Drosophila melanogaster: one gene and its partner. The protein of the gene in region 1 interacts with the protein of each later gene in a pairwise test. Each region holds a gene or a part of one and is shown in the gene's direction. Other genes may lie near its edges.

Region 1 (6,907 bases):
CAAAGTTTTGTGGTCACTTTTGCGGCTCGCAAGCTAACCAAATACGGAATAGTTCTCTTGGGAAGGAGTTCATTGAAACGCTTCACTGGTGAATAGAAAAAGTTTAAACGAGAAATCCCAAAACTAAATAAATAAATATTTATAAAAATGTGGGTAATAGAATAATATATATTTTCCCGAATATGTAGCTATAGCCTTAATGTTACTGAAAATTATTGTTTGCTGAATATTATTACGGAAGAAAATTACAAAAATATTATTAAGCGCAGTGAATCAAATTTTAAACAACGCTCTAAATATTCTGTTGAATTTAATTATTTATAATGGAAGAAATCGTTTAAAATAGCTTTACATATGCTAGCCTTCTTGAGATCCCTATCTTTGTGGTTTTAAGTACCTCAGATCTTATGTCGCATATTTAACCAAAAAATATTCAAATTTTAAATTTGGTAATAGGAAAGGTGGATTGGCATTGCTAGCCCACATTTCCACATACTGCCCACCCCTCCTGGCGAACCAGAACTTGTTGCACAAACAAAGCAGAAGCCTTTCGATATCCCACAACAATATTACATCAGAGCAATCTGTTTGGCCAGCGAAGACAAAACATTTGCTCAAAACAAAAAGTCAGAAAAAAGGGGTTCAAATTAAAGTAAAACAAGAGCGCCCCGTGTCCAAGTTGGGCCGTCGGAGGCTCCTAAGTTCTGTACTCCGTTTCCGCTGGATCAGCATAAAAATGCACCTGTGCACCATGGAATCCTTTGGCCCAAGCAAACACACACATGCCCATGGAGTGGGCAGTGTATTATATACGAGCCAAAACAAATCGAGCGACTTATCTCGGCTAAAACATCTCCCATTGACTTATGCACTGGAAAATGGAACAGTGGACGTGGATGTGGACGTGGATATGGATGTGCCTGTGCTTGTGCGACCCACTCCTGCATATACTTTCCTATGTGGATATACATATGTATGTATGTACATATGGGCACATCCATCTCCACCTCCATCACCGACTTCGTGTGGATGGCCAGCCAAATGAGACTGGAAGTCGGCAAATGGGGCTATGCGGGAATTTCCGTGGTAGTTGCTCATAAATATTCAGACACCAACACACTCGCAGATGGGGAGAGCCACACCGACACACACACGCGCACACAGTGGCAAAGTGGGCGGAGTCGACGACAGCATAAAGTGTGTCTGTGTGTCTATGTGTGCCATTTTTTATGCGCTCCATGGCAATTCAAAAACGCAAACAATAAACCGAGCAGCAGAGCAGCCACACCAACGGTTCCATTCCACCACCAACAAAGTGAAATCCCAGAGCATAGATTTGTGCTCTTGCACAGTGGTCGAGGTATTGGGTATCAAGGGCTTACTGAAACATTACTTACGTGCTACATGTTCCGAAATTTAAACATTAAATAGCTCATCAGTATATATAAAATTTAATAATGTATATAGTATATAATAATGTATATAGCATAATGCATAAAATATGTTTTTCCATGTCCAATTATAAGGCAATGCAGTCAATTTTCTGGCTTGTTAAGTCGCTTTTTTAGACTGTTAACAACATCAACATATTTGTTATTGGTGAAGTAATGTTCTTTGACCAGAATGATTGTTAGTCAAGGGAAGCGATTTTAGCTAAGAATTGATTGAATTTCCACGAAAAGGTCTAAATTTCTTTAAAATACTTAAAAAAGAACGTGAAATTAATAGAATTTTGTATAGATATTCAAGTGTTGTAACATTTAAAGCAGATCAAAATATAATCGCTTTTTCAAAGTTCAAAGTTAGTCCTTTAGCTATAAAATATTGTATTTGATTTAGACAACTTAAACTTGTCAAAATGTACGAATGAAATTATTTTATATTTGCAATTTTTTATCCCACTGTGCAGTGCATCGAATCTACGAAGCTTTCCCGGCTTGACTTTTGTTGTTGTTGTGCGCGAGAGCAGCAGCTGCCGGCAAAAGCACAAACAACAACTACAACTACAACGAAAGGCACTCTCTCTCTCTTGCGGACAAGTGCCTCCCCGCCCTTTCGCCTCTTTCCTTCCTCTAGAACCGTCATTTCCACGTTTCCAACAGGAGTTCCCTCGCACCAAAAGCAAAAGCATCAGCGAATGGCGTTCGAGCTCGGTTTTGTTTGTTGTTGGGCTGGTCGGCTTTTTGGTTTTGGCAAGTCGTTTTGTTTGTCGGCTGTTGGGAAAAGGAATGGGTGTGTGTGTGTGGGTGTGCGCGCGCTGCGCTGCCATTCTAACAGTTATCATCAAGGGAACAGAGCATCCAGAGCAGAGCTTCCAGAGCAGAGCCACCCTCCAGTCAGATTCAGTCCGACCTTAGTTGAAACGGACACGGAGTTCAGTCGCCACCGTTAACTCTTTCACATTGGACGCGAAAAGCGCGTTCGCGAAATTAGTGAGCAAAATTGGAAAGAGAGCGAGCTTACAAATGAATTAAGCGCCAAAGTGCGGATAGTGATCGCTTTAATAAAAGCATACTTACATTTTAAATCATAAATAAGCAATCCAATCTTTTACAACGAAATCTAAGAAACCGGCATCGAAGTAAATATCTAACAGATTCTGGGGTAACCCCAAAAAAAAACGTAACCTAAATCCTGAGATCAAGATAAAACTTAGCCGCAGGCCGAAAGCGCCAGTGCCTGGTTCCGTGACCCCCGATCGCGTAGTTGACCTTTGAAACCACCCACTAACCACCACCCACCAATCAGCACGGTCACTCCCTTGCATGTGAGACCCGTAATCGACCCTCTCCGGTCCCTGGTCGATCCAATGAAAATGGAAGATCCCACCATAAACGACACGTACGTTCAGGAGTTTGATCTGCACCACCTGGAGGTGGGCGGAAATGGAGCTGGCCAATCGCATGGAGCCGGTGCCGCGTCCCAGGTCACGACTTTGGGCCATGTGAAGCGCGAGGATCACAGTCCACCGCAGCCGGTGGCGGTTAAATGGACGACAATCCACGGCGATCCCACGAATCCGGACGATGACCCGGACTCGCTGCCGCTGTCCGGACCAGAGCCCGCCGGAGCAGTGGAGGTCTCGCCATCGCCGCACATCAAGCTGAGGTCCTTCTCCGGCCATCACCAGTGGCACATGGACGAACGGCGCCTGCAACCGCTCTCTCCGCCACCAGAGCAGTATGGTCCGCTGCCCGGACAGGCGATTCTGGTGAACACATCTTCGGGAGCGGGCGTTCCGGGCGGAGTGCCCTCAACGCCGCCGGAAACGCCACCAGTAGTGGGCTCGCCCACGGGCAGCAGCAGCTGTCCGGCTCAGACTTACGCACACCACTATGCGAGGACACCGGGCAGCTCCGTATCCGTATCCGCCTCCGCCGCCGCCGCAGCTGCTGCCTCCGCCGGAGCAGCATCGGTGAGTGCCGGACTGAGCCATGACATGATGTGGCTGACCAACTCGATACGGGCGGACCAGCAGCCGCTGGATCTGCGGCCTTTGCCCTATCCGGGCTCCCAGGAGGAGGCGGAGGAGTGGGACAGACAGCGGGACTACGCCCTGCAGGCGGCGGCAGCTCATCACCACCATCACGGACAGCCGCTGATGCAGGCGCAGCATCATCCGCATGGACACGGCGGTCATCCCCACCAGGTGATGCTGCAGCAGAGCAAGTATCCGCACCACCATCACCACCACTTCCACAATCTGGAACTGACGCCCATCAACATGCACTCGAACTCGTACGGTAGTGCTTCGGGTGCCCTGACGCCCACCTGTCTGCCCCAAGTGCCCAGCAACGGGAGTGGCAGCAGCGGAGGCGGAGGAGGCAGTGGAAGCGGGAGTGGTGGACCCGGCAGCGTGGGTGGCGGCTCCTGCGTCATCACACGGGCTGCCCTTCAGCCGTGCCGCCCGCTCTCCGCCAGCTCGACCAGATCCTCGAACAACATGTCGCCCAGAACCTGTTCGGGTGCCTACAGTAATGCCACGCTGGAGGATTGCCTCAATGACGACATGCTGACCACGTTGACGGTGCGGGAGCTGAACAAGCGGCTCCATGGTTGCCCACGGGAGGAGGTAGTGCGTCTGAAGCAGAAGCGACGCACCCTGAAGAATCGCGGCTATGCCCAGAACTGCCGGTCCAAGCGACTCCATCAGCGCCACGAACTGGAGAAGGCCAACCGGGTGCTCAACCAGGATCTGCACCGCCTGAAGCTGGAGTACTCGAGGGTCTGCCAGGAGCGGGATGCCCTCATGCAGCGTCTGCAGCGGGCGGCAAATGGCGGAGTCGGTGCGGGAGGTGCAACCGCCGGCGGCGATAGCCAAAGCTCTCCGGAATTCTACCTCTGACGCCAGCTGGCGGTGGCCAGCGGCTCCTCCGCATCCTCATCCTCCTCCTCGCAGCAGCAGCAGCAGCACCCCCAGCAACTTCATCTCCAGCATCGGGGTCCACAGTGGAATCCCCAGCAGCTGGTCAACTAAGTAGAGAGCGTTCCGTGTTTAAGGTACTTTCACAAAGAGTTGATCATTTCCAAGAGCTTTTCCTAGACACAATGTATAAGGTAAATTGGTTTGATTCCAAGAATGTTTTCCAAATAGTCTCCACTCGAAAGAACATGTTTTCCAAAAAGAGTTTGTTAAAGCGTTTCCAAGGGGTTAGATGTCAGAATTCAAATTCTGTTTGTTATACATTCAAAATGATTTGTGTTATACCACGCGTTATTGTAAGTTTGTCCCTATTTTTGTGTATTCTTAAAAATAATTTAGTAACTAGGTTGGATTTTCAAGAGAAGTGCATTCCCATTACCACCACTGTTGATATTTATTCCCTCATTAATTTAAAAACATTTCCATTTAATCAATAATGCTGAAAAATTAGGCGGTTTCCGCAGAATTCTGTTTAGCTATGTTACTATGAAATTTATTAAAGGGGTTTTTAAGCGTTTAATTTGCCATTATTCTGATTGCGACAATAAATTCCGATGAATATCAGTTTGAGAACTTGGAAAGTGATCGACAGAGATTGAGATAGATGAGATAGAAAGTAAAGTGCGAGAGAGAGAGAGAGAGCGTGTTTGGATGGAACTTTTGCTGATTATCAGTTTGACTAAGGCAAAGATCGATTATAAATAAAACTAATTGGAACTCGTATGTATAAAGGACAAACATTGTATAAACCCAAGGAACAAAAACAAAAAGGTAAATTAACTAGCGGCTTCTGATTATCAATCGCTAAATTATTACAAAGTACGAGTTAGTAACACACGCTTATTTGTTGATTAGTTCTAGCCTTAGTTTCCCTACTAGTATTAAGCGAAACAGAAGCGAATTATAATATCATAGATGCGATAGTTGTTCTAGAGGCCGTGCTTCCCCTGCCGTTTCCGTTTTAGCCACACCGCCCGCAAAAATTCCAATCCTTCAGTAGCAATACATCTAATAAAACTAAAGGTTGTATTAAGTTAAAACACCGCAAGCTGGAAGAACCGATGTATAAAGTGAAACTGGATCGAAGCGAAGAACAAACTCAACTGAAGTAAACTAACAAACTAACAAAGTCCTATACAATTTAATGAGCACTGAAAATGATGATCGAAAATAATGTACATACACCCACACACTTACGTATAAAGATGAAAAGATGTAAATTTAAGATTTTTTGAATGCATTCAGATTTCTGTCTTTGTGGAACTAGAAGAAACACACGCGAATACTGAGCCGGAAAATTAAAGATTAATTACAAACTAAAAACAATTGTGAGTAGTTGATAAGTGTGCATAAAACAATTTAGTAATAAATAAATCTAAATTAATGAATAATCCTATGTGCGTTCTTTCTTGGGCGCTTCCCTGCCAGCCAAAAGGTTTGCAATCTAACTAGTAAACGTTAGATTTCAGTTTCAGTGCAACTGTAAACATTGATACGGATTAAAAGATTCATTGAATGCTCATGAACTGAGAGTTACGTTCGTTTCTTTGGATGCTTGATAGTTTAAACATTGAAGATCGTAAAAATATAGAATGCTCAGTTTTTCATAGTATTCAAATTGTATTCTATTTTGTCCCCATGCCACATTCATATTCATATCTGGGTTTTAGAAACCACCGAGTGGGTCTCAGCTTGCATCATAGATTTTGGGTTTCATCTCGCCGTTTTCCGAGAAGTGGCATCTTCTGTGTGGTCTGTCGGCATGGATAAATGGGCTTCCAGCGACGACGACCCCCGCGGGCAACAGTTTAAGAATCAAAATAAACACTTCGATCCCGATCCCTCTGGACTTCGATAAGTTATGTCAACAAACTTCGGTCGCGTAACGGCGCATGCAGGAGCTCTGGAGTAGTAGGAGCTCCAGCTGAAGTGCAGCATTGGGTTACAATCGTCCACATGGAGGAGATCAGCATCAGCCCCTAGGAGGGGGAGGGGGCGGTGTTGGAACTTTGGAGCAGTCCAGCATTCAGTTGGGGCGGCGTAATTCGGCAATAATCAGAGGGCCGTATCTACATATCTGCATTTTCAAACCGTAATAAATCCCTAATAAAAATCGTTTCCTTTGGCCTGTTTATTTTCATTTCAATTTCGATTCACTTTTGCGGTGTCGCCTCGCTACGCTTTTTTCAGAATCTGAATTTGTTATTTTTATTTTGATTATATGAGTTTCCTGCCCTACCAAGAACCCAAATCTCTTAGGAGCTTATGTAACCAGACGAAACCACTCGATCGAAGAGTTGCGCAAGTATTTTTGATGAAATTCGGGTTTTTTGTTTTGGCCCAAGTGATGGCGATCGCCATCAAGTGGACATTTTTCTTTGATTTCTTTTGCCCTTTACTTATTTTTTTTCTAGCTTAATTCTCGGCCAGCAGGAAGTTTCGGATTTCGCTTTTTCCGAGCATGCAATAAAAATTGAAATAACT
Region 2 (6,355 bases), 300 kb from region 1:
CTAGCGAGAAAAATCAATAAAAAACGCAAGGTAGACACGCCACCGAGCAGACTCAAAAAGAACTGAACAAAATATATGTCCTCACAAAGGCCCTTTGGCACGTTCATGTCAGCGGGTTAACAATGGATGACACCGAAGAGTAGTCCATGGAGGAGGAGGTGGATGTGGAGGCGGAGCAGCCAGTTAAGAGCTTTCGGCCAGGTGAGAGAAGTGCTCATCTCTGGCTGGGATACCTTTTTCCAGCTTTCCACTTCTATGGAGCTCTAAACTATATGTAACTATAGTCTCGAGATATTTTATTCTATTAATATTCTTTCTCTAAGATAAATATCAGTTTTTATTTCTCATATATGTAATAATAAATATATTTATAATAAATAATAAATAATAATAATAAATATATTTATTATTAAGGTATACAACCCTTAAATTAAAATTTAATTTAGATGGGATTTCATAAAATAGATTTATAGAAAATGAAAAGAATATTATAAAATAGATATTAAAAGAAAAACGTTGTCTTTTTAGGAACTATGAATCTTATATCTTTTTAATTTAATAATTTTAAAATTGGTAGAGCACTTCTGAAATTAGGTTATCACTTTTAAGTACTATTATTCTAATATCTTTTAAATACAATTAAATATTTTTATTCGTTAACACAAACCCCATAACCCCCCAATGTCCTTAGAGAAGCTGAGATATTTTTGCCCAGGAACAGGGCAGCACATCCCCAAGCAGACCCAACCATCACCGCGATCACTCGAATGCCATCCTAATGCGCCCATTTTAGGGCTTTAACCTAATAATGACGTTCGACTTAGTTTGCGTGACTTATTTTATTAATAAAACGAGCAAATTTGTCTTGCTTTTTGGTCGCATCGTCGTCATATGCTTTTTCTCTCTCGGCGATGTCTCGTTATTGTCCTTCCTTCCTGCTCTGTTTGTGGAGACCCCCCCCCCCCATATTTCCCTCTCTCTGAAGGAATTAAGGACTTTCCGCTGTGAGGAAAGACTGATTCTCAAAGCAACAGGACGAAACAGGACGAGTATAGTTGCGAAAGCAACCCCTCGGCGAGCTCTTCGCCGATTGGTGGCTTGCTGGAAAGGAGGCACGCCCCCTTTTTCGATGGTGTCACTTGGTTGGGTGCGGAGGGGGCCGGGTGTCCTTGGTGGGTGGTGTACGGCTATGTGGGGCTCTGATTCAATTAACCGCGCGGGGAAAAAATATCTGAATGCAAAGCAGGCGAATGCTTGGCCCCAACCCAGCGGGTACAGTTGCGCTGGCTCCACCTAGCAATTATCCTGTCACAGCAGCAGAATCGATTGTTTAATTCAATTATAATAATTGTGGCATTTAATGCACGCACATCATCAGCCAGACAGCCAACAATGGCGGCCGTGACACGTTAATTATGACAAGTGGGTGCCAAATGGGCGGCTGGGGACGTGGCAGGATGTGCCTGCCTCGCAAAATGGCGGCAGAGCAAGGACGCATAGTTGTGCAACTTATTTGCGGCTAACGGGGGTCAATTAAACTAAGGTTTTTCCGCACTAATCGCATGTCCAGTGGATGCCAGCAGAGAGATGGGTGCTCAAAATCCTGCCAGAGCAGGACAACCCTATGCGCATGCAAATCGAGGGGTGTGTTCATGTGCCCGCTTACGGGGATTCCCCGAATATTGCCGCTCTAAGCGGGCACCGCAAAGCGGGCCAACTGCAGCCGGATTGAGGAGGGGGTGGCACTGCCTGCGCTCGCATTTTTTCCCCCCCTTCGATTTTCCCCTTTTCGCAGGATGCAGGACCATATCGCCGGCTCGCTCGCACATGTCTGCTGGCAGCTCGTTTAGAGCAATTTGCTGGTTGATGTGCGGTGATTGCCGCAAACTCAACGCGACCGTCAACGAGCAAACAACATAAGCGCGCGCGCGGTCCAAGGACACGTATATATCCCGGCTGGCTGGCACATCTCCTGGCTCCGGTCTCCATCACTGCTCCTCGTGCTCCTCCTGCTCGGCCATCCTCCAGCGCAATGGCAATGCTTAATGAGGCCAGCTTGAGTCCTGCGGACGCACATGCTCATGCCAACGCCACCACGCCCACGCACAGCAAGGCGGCGGCGATGGCCAGTGCCACCACAATGCTGACCACAAAAACGCCGTTTTCCATCGAGCACATATTGTTTCAAAACTTAAATAGTGCCAGCAATAACAATAATAGTAGTGATACCAACGGCATCGCCGCAAACACCAACAACTACGCGCCAAAGAGCAGCAGAAACGCGGTGAAAAGTGCCAGAAGCGCATTTGCCCACGACAATAATCCGCACAAACATCCGTCGCAACATTCGCATCCGCCGCAGTCACATCCGCCGGCGTCCGCATCCGCATCCGCGACGGCTACTGCCCGCAGCAACCAGGCTGCGTCGGGTTACGCTGGCGAGGATTACGGCAAGTCCATGCACAGCACTCCACGGTTGGTTTCCGAATTCCAAGGCCTAATACTACTGCAGTGAAATTTTAGTTTAAAAAACTTTAATTTTAAGCCAATATAATTGCATAGAAAAGTGAAAAAAAGTAATTAAAATAAAAAAAAAATAAATAAAAAATAAGATAATATTAACAAAGTGAATTTATAAAAGAATAAGAAGTAAACATGAAACATCAAATACGATAGATAGTCACACCTTCTTGAAGACAAATATTTTGGAATAGCATACACCTTTAAAATCTTACTTTGGATTATGTTCTTTTAAATTATAGAATATTTTTTGTAAGAAAAATGATATTTTGGAAACATAGAAATCAGGCTTACCATAAAGCTTAATGTATCTGGGAATATATATTTGTATTTAAGCATATTAGCATAAAAATCACTATTGGACATAAAGAGAATAGTTTAACATCGAAATACCAATAGACCCCTAATTGAACCACTTGCTTCGTAGGTCCAACCACCACTCGCGACACGGAACTTCCCACTACAACGGAGATCAGATTTCGCAGCAGTTGGGATCTGGAGCAGCACAACATCCGCCGGTGCCCACGACTCAACCTCAACCTCCGCCTCCGCCGCCCCTGAATGGAGGTAGTGGTGCATCCAATGGAGTACTCTATCCGAATGCACCCTACACCGATCACGGATTTCTTCAAATGACCCTCGGATATCTCTCGCCGTCGTCGGGCACCTACAAGTCCGTGGATCCCTATTTTCTATCACAAGGTGAGTTAATGCTCGATATTACAGAGATATCCTCCTAGATGATTCTGATTTGTACTGGTACATACAAACATGTTGGTAATAAGTTAAAGTCGAACTCATAGAAATTAAAAGTCAATTCTAGCTAGAGTTTAGCTAATCGAAAATGAAGTTGGACATATTCTCATTAAAAAGCCAGCACAACATTTAATTTCACATTTAGAACTTTTTCAAAATGAAACCCAAATTAGTAGGACAACTGATGTTGAAGTGCAGTTTTTTGTTGCCACATAGCTTCATTTAGGGGCACTAAAACTCGAAATATTCGGTGTAAATGGCCATCAACACCGAAAGTTTTCATTTGTTCCAACTATAACGAAGTTAACCAAATTTTGCATCCTTTGCCCTTTCAGCCAGCCTGTTCGGGGGAGCGCCCTTCTTCGGAGCGCCTGGCTGTGTGCCGGAACTGGCCCTCGGACTGGGAATGGGCGTGAATGCCCTGCGCCACTGCCGCCGGAGGAAGGCTCGCACGGTGTTCAGTGATCCGCAGCTGTCCGGTCTGGAAAAGCGGTTCGAGGGACAGCGATACCTGTCCACGCCGGAGCGTGTGGAGCTGGCCACCGCCTTGGGACTCAGCGAGACGCAGGTGAAGACCTGGTTCCAGAACCGCCGCATGAAGCACAAAAAGCAGCTGCGCCGGCGCGACAATGCCAATGGTGAGTATATTGATTTCATAATCACAAATTTATTATGAGCAAATTAAATATTACGAAATTTATAATACTCAAATCAAGTTATTTAATATTCAAACCTTTTCTGGGCTGTTAAGAACAACTAGAGCGAAAAAGAGTTGCTCAAGTTTTCCAGCTTTTAGACAATGCAATATTTGAGTTAGCAATTAAATTGTCAAAAGGCATTTCGAGCAGGAGTGGTCAGCGGTTTTCAAATTGGTCACAAAGCACCAAAAACTAGACCACTGGAGTGAGTAGTTTCTTTGAGGAACTTTTGGACTATCAATTAGACCTTTTGGCTTTTAGCCGGCTCCTTGTGATGCAAAAAGTTTTGCTCAAGTTTCAACGCAAATCAAATTAGTTCTAAATTTTGTGGAAATTTCTTTGACTCTTCCATGCCGCAGAGCCCGTCGACTTCTCACGCAGCGAACCGGGCAAGCAGCCGGGCGAGGCCACCTCCTCATCCGGGGACTCCAAGCACGGCAAACTGAATCCCGGATCTGTCGGCGGCACACCCACTCAGCCGACGAGCGAGCAGCAGCTGCAGATGTGCCTGATGCAGCAGGGTTACTCCACGGATGACTACTCCGATCTGGAGGCGGACAGTGGCGACGAGGACAACTCCAGCGACGTGGACATCGTCGGCGATGCGAAACTCTACCAGTTAACATAGACAGTTCGATCGGGATGTGGACCTGGATCCTAAAGTAGTAAAGTTTTCGGTGTTTCAGTTGGGGGAAATACAACTAAAAGAGATTTTCAAATCAAAAAATATCAGTTTCTTTTACTAAATGACTTTTCTATTAGACAAGCACAGAAGTTACAAAACAACACATATATTATCAGCGCGAGCATGGTTATACCATTTTGAAAATATCTATTATTACGATTTAGTACGAACTATAGTTCCTTATAATTGTGGAAACTTACCCATCAGTTTCACCATTGAATTAATTGATTGATTATAACAGATACCATCCAGCTACTCTAGCTGTTTTGATCTTGTCCAAAAGAAACATATTTATTTTGCTATAATTATAGTTGTATTTCCCCCCAGATACATATTTGAATTGAATCGAAAAGCCGTGTAAATACCAACGAGTTCTTGAACGAGTTTTCTAGTCATGTATTAAGTCTAATAACTAATCAAATTTAGTGATTGTATTCGAGAACTTCCATTTTAAGATACATTAGTTCCCTGCGACTTCTTATCCAGAACATAGTGCTTACAATAAACGGAACGGAGCGAATTACGCGAATGCTGGAGAAGTGTTACTGGGTGGGTGGGTGGTGTAGCTTGATGCCCGCCCCCTCGCCGGGCAATCAAATCCAATTGACAACACAAAGTAGCAACTAATATGGTTAAGCAGCGGGAATACTGATGTATGGGGTTGGCGACTGCCACGCCCTGCGCATGTCCTGCCGCCCAAGTGGGCGGGCGGAAGCGGGTGGGATTGGATTGAATCGGGGTGGATGGAAATGCACTTAACAATGGCAAAATAATTGCGGGTTTTCAGACAGCCATTTTAGTGAGACACCCATTGTCAAGTGCGGAATAGAGTGAGGAGGTAAAAGTTAAATGTTTCAAATTGATTGGTAATTACGGGTTAGCAGGAATGCTCTCGAAAAAATATTAATAGTTTACCCGATTAAGAATGAGTCTTGGAGGGAATGGAGTTCCATATGCTTATATACATGTAGATACCTTTGCAGTCATCAAAACTCATGGATCTATTTGTTGAGAGAAGTTATCATTTTTAGTTTCATACTTTGGACTGTTAAGACTTTTCTTGACGTCAACGAAGCATATTCCAATTCTATTCTGGCGATTAAATGGCATATGTACATATGCTTGTTAATAATATGTATTTTTTTATATAAATTTCGAGTGTGTATTGAGTTATGCTCAACTTGGTAAACATGCGAATTAATAATATTCGGAATAATATACAACCTAAGGTCGAAGCAATGACAAGTCGCAGTCGCTTTAGCCACTTGTATTTTCCCAGTGAATACAGAAACTAATAAGTAGTACTCTTGGGCTTATCTTGCTATTGATAAGCTCAATGTGAAATAAACTGCTAGAGACGAGCCTCCCTCGATTTTAAGAGGTTGGCAATAAAAATCACAATAAATGTTTTGATTTTAGACTCTTAGTTAGTATAACTCGTATTCTCATGGACCATTTCACATCATACTTATTGTTTAAAATGTTCTCACAGTGAAGCATTTAACGATGGCATTTTCATCGGTAAGCCTGACCACTCTCCTCCGCTCTTCATATGTGGCTCCCTCTTAGTTTTGGAGCCATATGTCTGCAGCTTATGCTCCCCATCTGGACTTGGACTCTCTTCCACTCCGCTCTCTCTTCTATATACATTTTCCGTGTGTATGCTATTTACGTGCTATCAGTTGCCGTTGAAAAC

Evidence for each region.
Region 2: the proteins of tj (region 1) and bsh interact in a two-hybrid assay, tested with the Drosophila melanogaster proteins (one large-scale study listed by BioGRID).

What each region holds. Positions count from the first base shown.
Region 1 is NT_033779.5:19,461,947-19,468,853, forward strand, and holds tj (traffic jam), read left to right. Parts: upstream 1-2,320; 5' UTR 2,321-2,809; coding exon 2,810-4,345; coding exon of another isoform or gene 4,346-4,477; 3' UTR 4,478-5,812; downstream 5,813-6,907.
Region 2 is NT_033779.5:19,764,607-19,770,961, reverse strand, and holds bsh (brain-specific homeobox), read left to right. Parts: upstream 1-1,894; 5' UTR 1,895-2,032; coding exon 2,033-2,475; intron 2,476-2,947; coding exon 2,948-3,222; intron 3,223-3,611; coding exon 3,612-3,914; intron 3,915-4,333; coding exon 4,334-4,602; 3' UTR 4,603-5,186; downstream 5,187-6,355. UniProt on the Drosophila melanogaster protein: DNA binding protein that function as transcriptional activator. May play a role in the determination and function of cell types in the brain.